2 linked regions of the Caenorhabditis elegans genome follow. The protein of the gene in region 2 interacts with the protein of the main gene of each other region in a pairwise test. Each region holds a gene or a part of one and is shown on either strand. Other genes may lie near its edges.

Region 1 (3,610 bases), on a different chromosome or scaffold from region 2:
TCGTTCATTTTCTGACGAACTTCTAATAATATTCTAGCATTCCTACCTTCAAAAGTGCTCAATGTTATTCGTACCGCTTCCCCCTTAAAATTATTTCCTTGTTTTTTTCTTGATTCGAATCCTCTCCCCCAACTTTCAACACAACTCAGGTTTCCATATTTTTTTCTTAATTTTTTTTGAATTTTTTTTTTTGAAATATAGGCGAGCAATTTTATGCATTTTGTAGGCAGTCAATTATGTCTCGCCTCTTCTGTCAAACTCTGCAGGGTACTTTTTTGAAATGTTTTTCTTTTTGAAGTTTTACCGTTTTTTTTTTTGAAAACTATTCAATTCGTTCCAAACATGCTGAATATCTAGTCGTTTTACACCCATTTGCAAAGTATGCGGTGATATTATTTCCTTAAGTTTAGTGTTCTATCTTTTAGTCCTTATTTTGGATCTTTCATTGTTTTATTTTTGGATAATTTCCCACGCATGAATAGTATATAATAAACTGTTTTTCTTGTGTTTATTGTTTTTTTTTAATATTTCATAAATATTCCAATTAGTCGAGTAACCTCCCACCAGGAAGTTCAATAATTTTTTAAGATCGTTACAATAAAACTGTTGAGGTTAGTCAGGAAAAAAAATGTTATAGCGTGTGTGAGGAGGTGAAATTGCTAGCAAAATAGATTTTTTGACGGATAAAATCTACAACAGTAAGTAAGTGCATTCCGTTACAATGCGAGATTTGAATTTTGGTACAGATAAAGGGTTCGTTGGGGAAATAATTATTGTATCTTATCAATTTCTTGCAGCAAACTTCAACAAATTTTAGAAACTTTGGTAATGCCAAAAAAAGTTGATGAGGTTGGTTGAGGCTTTTTGCTGAAATTAGCCTTTTGGAAAATAATTTTTGGGAAGAAATATACGATTTCAAATAATTAGAAGATAAAAAGAAACTGTTCGTAGCGCAATAATTAAAATATAGGGACCATTATTTATGTACCTTGTGAGGACGGGCGATTTGAAGATACAGTCGTTGACCAGATGCTTTGACCGATTTCACCACCGAGCGCTGAAGTAAGTGACAAATATAGATATCGGATATCTAAATGTTTGTTATAAATATAAACTAGTTAGTCTTGCTCGCATCTTGCACAAATTTCCCCCTTAGAAAATTTTTTCAATTTCAGTCAGTTTTTGGATAATTTTATTGTGTCTCCTATTTGTTGTATCATTCTTACCTGATCCAAAATTGGACGTCCATTGACCGCCAAAATACGATCTCCAACTTTCAATTTCTCAGCGGCAACCGATCCAGGTACTACAGTGGTTATGAGGATTCCACGATCTCTTACCCCGACTCCCATTCCGATTTTCCGATTGGCATCCTGAGAAAAATCTATGAAAGTATAATGGAAGTGTTGATGAAAACCTTCTGAAGCTTGACAAGTAATGTATCACAACCCTCTTCTTTCAAATCGGAAATGATTCCGACAGCGAGTGAACTGTACTCATAACTGCTCAATGTGATAGTTGATGGTGGACTAGGTGGTTGTCTTCGGTGAATTTTTATCTGTAGTATTATTAAATATGTTTCATAAGCTCTTTAGGATGTTTTATATGTTTTATACTTGAAAATTGTTTCAAAAATTGTCAAGCAAAGGGGCAGTATTTTTGAATAATAATCCTAATGTTCAATAATTATTTTTCCACAAAACGATTAATTACCGGAAAGCAGCAAGTGATTCGTCGCATTGTTCTGGAATCCGTAGAAAGTTATGGTCCAAACTGATAGTAAAAATCTTTCATCAGAAAATGATTACTCTCAACTTTATATTTATACCTTCCCGGCTCAAACTTTACCTCTCCAATTAACATTATATTTCATTGTTTTTGAATAAATCATATTTACCCTCTGATCATTTTCATGAGATCATAGGGTAACGCGTGATATATTGAACATTTATATAATTATGAATCACAATAGTCATCACTTTAGGGACTTTTTTGTTGCTAACAATCTCAAATAAATTATTTAGTATGATCAGAGAAGGGGTTTCCAAACTGAGATGAGTAAGAATGACGTTAAAAAACTTGCATGCCTACAGTCTAGAAGTTCTTAATTTTTTTTACTTGTTCTAAATCAACTTGAAAGTTCTCACAATCAGTAAATAATTGCAAATATATATTTAAAATTAGTGAAATATAATCTAAGAAAATGTCAGCTGCTACCAAAATTCTGTTCTAACCAGATTTTCGCAAATATTATCTGTCAAACGTTAAAAATAAAAACAAAAAGTTAAAATTTTCTTCCATATAAAATTTGTTAATTTTGTAGTTCCGACTGGTTTGTGCCTTATATCTTACCTTGTGCGGAGTTTGAAAAATCATTTCCGCTCCTTTTTTTAAAGTTTTAATAATTTCGAGGTTAACATGCGTAAAAATATGTCTCATTTCAAAAAAGAAGATCAGACAAGCTAACATTGTTTGAAACTAGATGTGTCATGGAAAAAAAATCATTCAGAATTTTTATTCGGCAAAAAATCGAATTTTTCACAAAATATAAATTTGACTCCTTTTTAAAAAATGTATGATAATTTTGAAAGTTGCCAAAATTCAAAAAAAAATTGCACATAGCTGAATTTTAACCCTTTTTTTCTAGCTTTTTCTTGTACCTAAGTTCGGTTTTTGGGAAATTGATCTGAAGATTTTCTGACGCACCACACTTTTTTTAAAGTCTTTTTCTAAAAAATTTCAATTATTTTTCTCATTTTCAATTCGCTCTTTAAATGTTGTTATTCCTTCCCAGGAAAAAATTGGACTGTCATGTTTTGTACGAAAATTCCCTGACTTGAATACTTTAGATTTTTATTTTTGTATTTGTATTTAATCTGGAATATTCCTTTTTCACGAGCACTTGATTTCAAAATTGTATTTCTATTGCTTTCAGAATGTACATAATTCTACAAAACTTCTCATTGTAGCGTGTAAACAGATCCTGTTTTCCCCCGTTAATTTAAGACAGAACAATTCTTCGAACAATTTTTTCTGAATCCCTTTCCTCTTTCTATTCCCTTCTACTACCTTTTCTTCGAATTCTCACTCCATTTGAGCCACGAATCGTTGTCAAGGAGACTCTGTGTTGTCAGAAGCAGAAGACACCGAAAGAAACGAGCCTCCGTGTGAATGTAATTCAGGTTTTGGATTTCCGAAAAACGAAGAATGTGAATTAACTTTTTTCGTACGGCATTTTCTATTTCCATCTTTCCTCTTTTTTCAAAAAATCACCTGTTCCTCTGCCCACATCAAACTCACATACTTCTGTCATCTTGCTCTCTTTTAGCCAAACTTGTTTGAAATTGAATCGGCGAAAATGCCAATTGATAAGTATAAATTAAGTTTGAATAAAGTATAAACTGGGGTTCTGGTAGAGCAATTATATTTGTCATAATTCAGATAGGATGGTTTTAGAAAAATCGGTTCTCCCAGACCAGGTCTGGTTAGCGCAAAAGTCACGAATTTTCATTTCAAATAAGTAGAAAATATCCTGTAAATAATTTCTTAAAAGTTTCCCAGTTACTATCAGAAAGAATGTGGATGAGTAATGTCATAAACTTACAAAAGT
Region 2 (4,372 bases):
GTATTAATTTTACAAGCTCCTTGCTGTCGACATTCGAATTTTTTTCCCAGAGCCACAGTTCTTCGGAAAAATGCGGCACAAGCTCTTAAATTAAAATTGTTATTGTAACTTAAACAATAATATTCTTATGAGGTTATTTAAGCAATGTAGCAAAATGTATTTAAATACATGTTTTTATATACTTGAATACAGTTGCGTCGTAATTTTTCTACACTTTAATTTTCCGATATTACTTGAATAACCCCATTATTTGAAACCAACCTGCACGCATCGAGACCAAAGTGATGACCATCCCCAACATCGCCACAAATTGCACAGTTCGGTTTTTTTGTTTCCTTTTGTGATAATCCTTGTTCAAAAAATTGGAAATTCAATGAATCCATAACTTCATAATATTATAAGTGAGTGCAATAGAAATAGAAACACAGACAAAAAGTAGAAAGATACGAACAAGAGAATACGTTGCCTGGTCCAAGTGAGAGAATTGAGATACTGCCTACGTTTGTAGCCTTTGTGACCTGTTGAGACTTGTTTTTTCTTATCGGGTACAACCAAAACTCTCTTACAAAATCGTGCTATTTTCAAGTATGAAGCCAAACTACAATAACTACATTTTTATGTTCAAAGGGTCAGAAGATTGGAAACTGTTTTCTACTTAAACTTATTTTAAGAGTAACAACTAACGGATAGAGCATATTTTCATATTTTCTAGGGAATTACCATTTTCATTTTGTTTAAATTTGCTAGTTCATGTACACAGTTAAAATTTGAAATTGAAAAGCGGAGTTTTCAACAAAACAATCATAAGTGATATTCCAAAATTTTGACCGAGAAAGTTTAATTAATACTTATTTATTTAATTTTTCGAAAAAGATCACAGCTATTAGTTACAAGGTTTCAATGAAAGATGGACAAAAGTATATCACAGATAGAAAAACCACAATCAATTAAATTTTCCATTTATAATATTGACGAAATTCTCAGGTAGAGCATAAATATTGAAGATATTAGCCATTTCGATGTCCTCTTGGAAACGGCGAACTGCTCTCTGGAATAAAAATAGTTAAACACCGTACTTTCGATTTTTCAATGAATAATTTATCAAAAAATTACCTGTAAGCTTGGCAGAATAGACACGACACTTGCCATCCTATAAAGTGGTTCTTCGTGTTTCTTAACATTTCTCAAATAAAAAGTCATTTCTCTTGTAACTCGATGTTTGACTCGTCGTCCAACTTCATTACACTCATCAGACTGTCCTTCCAATCCAAAATCCCAGAACAACATAACGCATAATGCAAAAAACTCGTAAGAATCTACATTTTCCAATCGCATCAAGTTGATAAGACTCCTCTTTTGTAATTCGAATGACGGCCTAATCAGTCTGCAAAGTCTGAAGTACCACTGTCAGGACAACGTTTCATGAACGGAACATTTACTTACTTTGCAATTTCTGCAGGAGTACCACCTGTTCCACTATTGCATTCTTTGAAAAATCCTTCAAGATTATCGTAGTCAATATAGTCTTTTGAAGCCATTACAACAATTCCATCACGTCCTGAAATCATTCATGTTTTAAAGTTTTGATTTCTCGTATTAGTTTTCAAAAAAAAACTCACCACTTTTGACAGTCATGAATGCTCTTTCAAGCATACAGAAAAACACAAAAAAGTTTTGAAACAAAATCGTTTTCTGATCAACAGGTAATAATCCAAAATCGTCAAAACACCATTCGATCCAATCAGCAACTAATGAAACTTCCTTTGTTGTTACTTCAGTTGCCTCTCGAAATGTGATTGCTCTTGGAACTTTTTGTTGAAATATATTTTCTCCTTCTCTTCGATGAATCACATTCCTTGCATTTTCCATTTTATCATAATTAATTCTCATTCTTTCGAGAAGAGGCATCGTTTCAAGAGATGGTGAAGAACTGAGTCCAGGAAGCGATGCAGGGGAGAATGCCGAAAAATTACTGATTGGTGTATCTTTGAATATTGAAAAATCCATAAAGTTGGATGTTGATGGAACAGCTGAAGCCTGTGGAACAATATTAAAATTTGGAATTGGTCGTCTGATTTCAGTTTTTGAAGTATCAAATTGAAGATCAGCTTTGGGAGTATCGTTTTCTCGACGATTCTGAACACATTCTGGATTCATTCCAACTTCTATACATTTGTCATATCGACACGAGCGGCACATGCATCGAATATCTGAAAGAAGAAAACAAATAATTTGAAAAATGATCGCTATACTTACTCGAAGAAACTTCACAGTTTCTGCCTGCTCTGCATTCATATTTCTTTGAAAGTGCCACGCTCCGTCGGAAAAATGCAGTACATGCTCTTAAAGTTTTTTGGAAATTATAAGTGTTAAGCTATTAGAACTTTCAATTGAGATCTTGTTAAAAAATAATTGGAAAAAGTTAATCAAATATATAAATGAATTTTAAAAATTCTTGAAGTCGATTGCCCGATAAACTTTTCAATTACTAAAACAACCGGTGATCAATAAAAAATCAAAAAGGTACCTGCAAGCTTCTGCTCCAAAATGTAATCCATCTCCAACTTCATTGCAAACCGCACAATTTGGTTTTTCATACCTTCCACGAAATTGAGTATTAGGAGTAATTGACGTAGTCGGTGTTTCCGTTCCAAGTTTTTCTGTAGTCGTGAATGAAGCAAGAAAAGGTTCTGTTTTTTGTTCCTGAGGTATCTGCTCCATTTTGTGAAAATTTTTATTTTCCTGAAAATATTAAGATTTTGTAACGAAAAATTATTATATCAAAAATTGAAAAATGTAGAAAATAAAAAGGTGAGAAATAAGAGAAAATAGAGGCGAGACACGTTTGTGTGGCCAAATGTATTGGAGTGTATTGACAGAGAAGACTACAAAGAAGAGAAATAGTGTGCGTGAGACGGCTAGGTTGTAGTTTGTAGCCTGGTTCGTAGCGAGATCACAGAACAGAGAATAGCGTATTTGTAGTGTCTGCGTCTCATGTATTATTGATTGAGTTTCTAGAAAGATAACGGTGATGATGACATTTCAACTACCTGACTACAAAATATATCTTACGACAAAAGTGACTTTATGTTTGTTACTAAATAACAAGAAACAACACAACTCATATTTCAATTTTTAATTTAGGCAAAAAATGGCATAAAAAACAGACTATAAAACAAACAAATAATTTTCTCTAATTCTATGATTCCGAAACTTTTGATATTCAATCTAGAATGCTCGTTTAACTTTCTGATCGAATAATATGCACATGAAAATTCACGAATTAATACTATTTTTTCGGCACTCCTCCACAGCAGCGCAAACCAATTTTTGATATCCCCAATAAAAGCGGTACCGAAATTCGAATTTTAATCTTGATCCGCAAACCTAATGGTTTAAAAGCTAGACCATGTCTATGATTTCTAATGGGACTTTTTTTTGTTTCATACTCATTTATGCACAGGATAACATACATTCTTGTTTCAATAGAAAAAAATCCTCAACTTTCGGGCAAAATAATTTTGAATTTAAAGTTCTTCAACAAAATCAAATTTTGAAATTTTTAGCTAATTACTGTGCAAACATTAAACATTCCTTCAATGTTTCATCTGACTTACAAAATTGTCATTTAACTAGTATGATGTTTCGTATTAATTCCGAGATTTATGGTAACCTGATATTTGGAATTTCTGAAAATTGTCTTATACGTCTTGTATTATATATTTACTAATGAACACCAGTAGGATGTAGTATGAATTTTCTGTTTGAATTCCTGTGATAAAGTTGTTTTAGTTTTTGACCAGCTTGGCTTGATGCGATAATATCAAAATAAATGGGTGTAACATTTTGTACTGGGCACTGACATGTGTCCATTCTGCCAGACTCTCAACAACAACGTAGTTGAGCTCAGCATCCGCTTATTCGTGAAAGCATCCTTTTATTCAATTTTTAACCTGATATTAAATCCTTCTAATTTGAAATGTCTCAAGATAATTTGTCTGCTGTCCTCTACGGAATAAACGATTTACGTCTTGAACAAGCTCCAATTTCCAAACCGGGACCAAGACAAGTTCTTGTTAAAATTAATACTGTTGGTATTTGTGGAAGTGATGTACACTTTTTGACACACGGAGCAATTGGATCATTTGTTGTTAAAGAACCGATGGTGAGAAATATAAAAGTAATTTTATAGTGTTACCGTGAGTAATTCAACCCTTTTATTTTGACAGAACACATGTATAGTACAACCTCCTTTTTTTAATCAAAATAATCAATTTTAAAATAAAATATTTCTGTTAAAAAACTCCAGTGAACAAAAAAGTGTATTTAAAAATTAAAAAAAAAAGTTTTCAGGTTTTAGGCCATGAGAGTT

What was found.
Region 1: the proteins of nhr-12 (region 2) and C52A11.3 interact in a two-hybrid assay, tested with the Caenorhabditis elegans proteins (one large-scale study listed by BioGRID).

Annotation. Positions count from the first base shown.
Region 1 is NC_003280.10:10,735,532-10,739,141, reverse strand, and holds C52A11.3 (PDZ domain-containing protein C52A11.3), read right to left. Parts: upstream 1,784-3,610; 5' UTR 1,741-1,783; coding exon 1,714-1,740; intron 1,559-1,713; coding exon 1,418-1,558; intron 1,374-1,417; coding exon 1,227-1,373; intron 1,058-1,226; coding exon 977-1,057; 3' UTR 514-976; downstream 1-513.
Region 2 is NC_003283.11:10,081,302-10,085,673, forward strand, and holds nhr-12 (Nuclear receptor), read right to left. Parts: upstream 2,749-4,372; 5' UTR 2,722-2,748; coding exon 2,528-2,721; intron 2,343-2,527; coding exon 2,257-2,342; intron 2,211-2,256; coding exon 1,620-2,210; intron 1,559-1,619; coding exon 1,444-1,558; intron 1,394-1,443; coding exon 1,114-1,393; intron 1,049-1,113; coding exon 944-1,048; 3' UTR 832-943; downstream 1-831. Other genes in the region: nhr-205 (Nuclear Hormone Receptor family), read right to left, coding at 1-84, 262-383; R04B5.6 (Sorbitol dehydrogenase), read left to right, coding at 3,980-4,165, 4,354-4,372. UniProt on the Caenorhabditis elegans protein: Orphan nuclear receptor.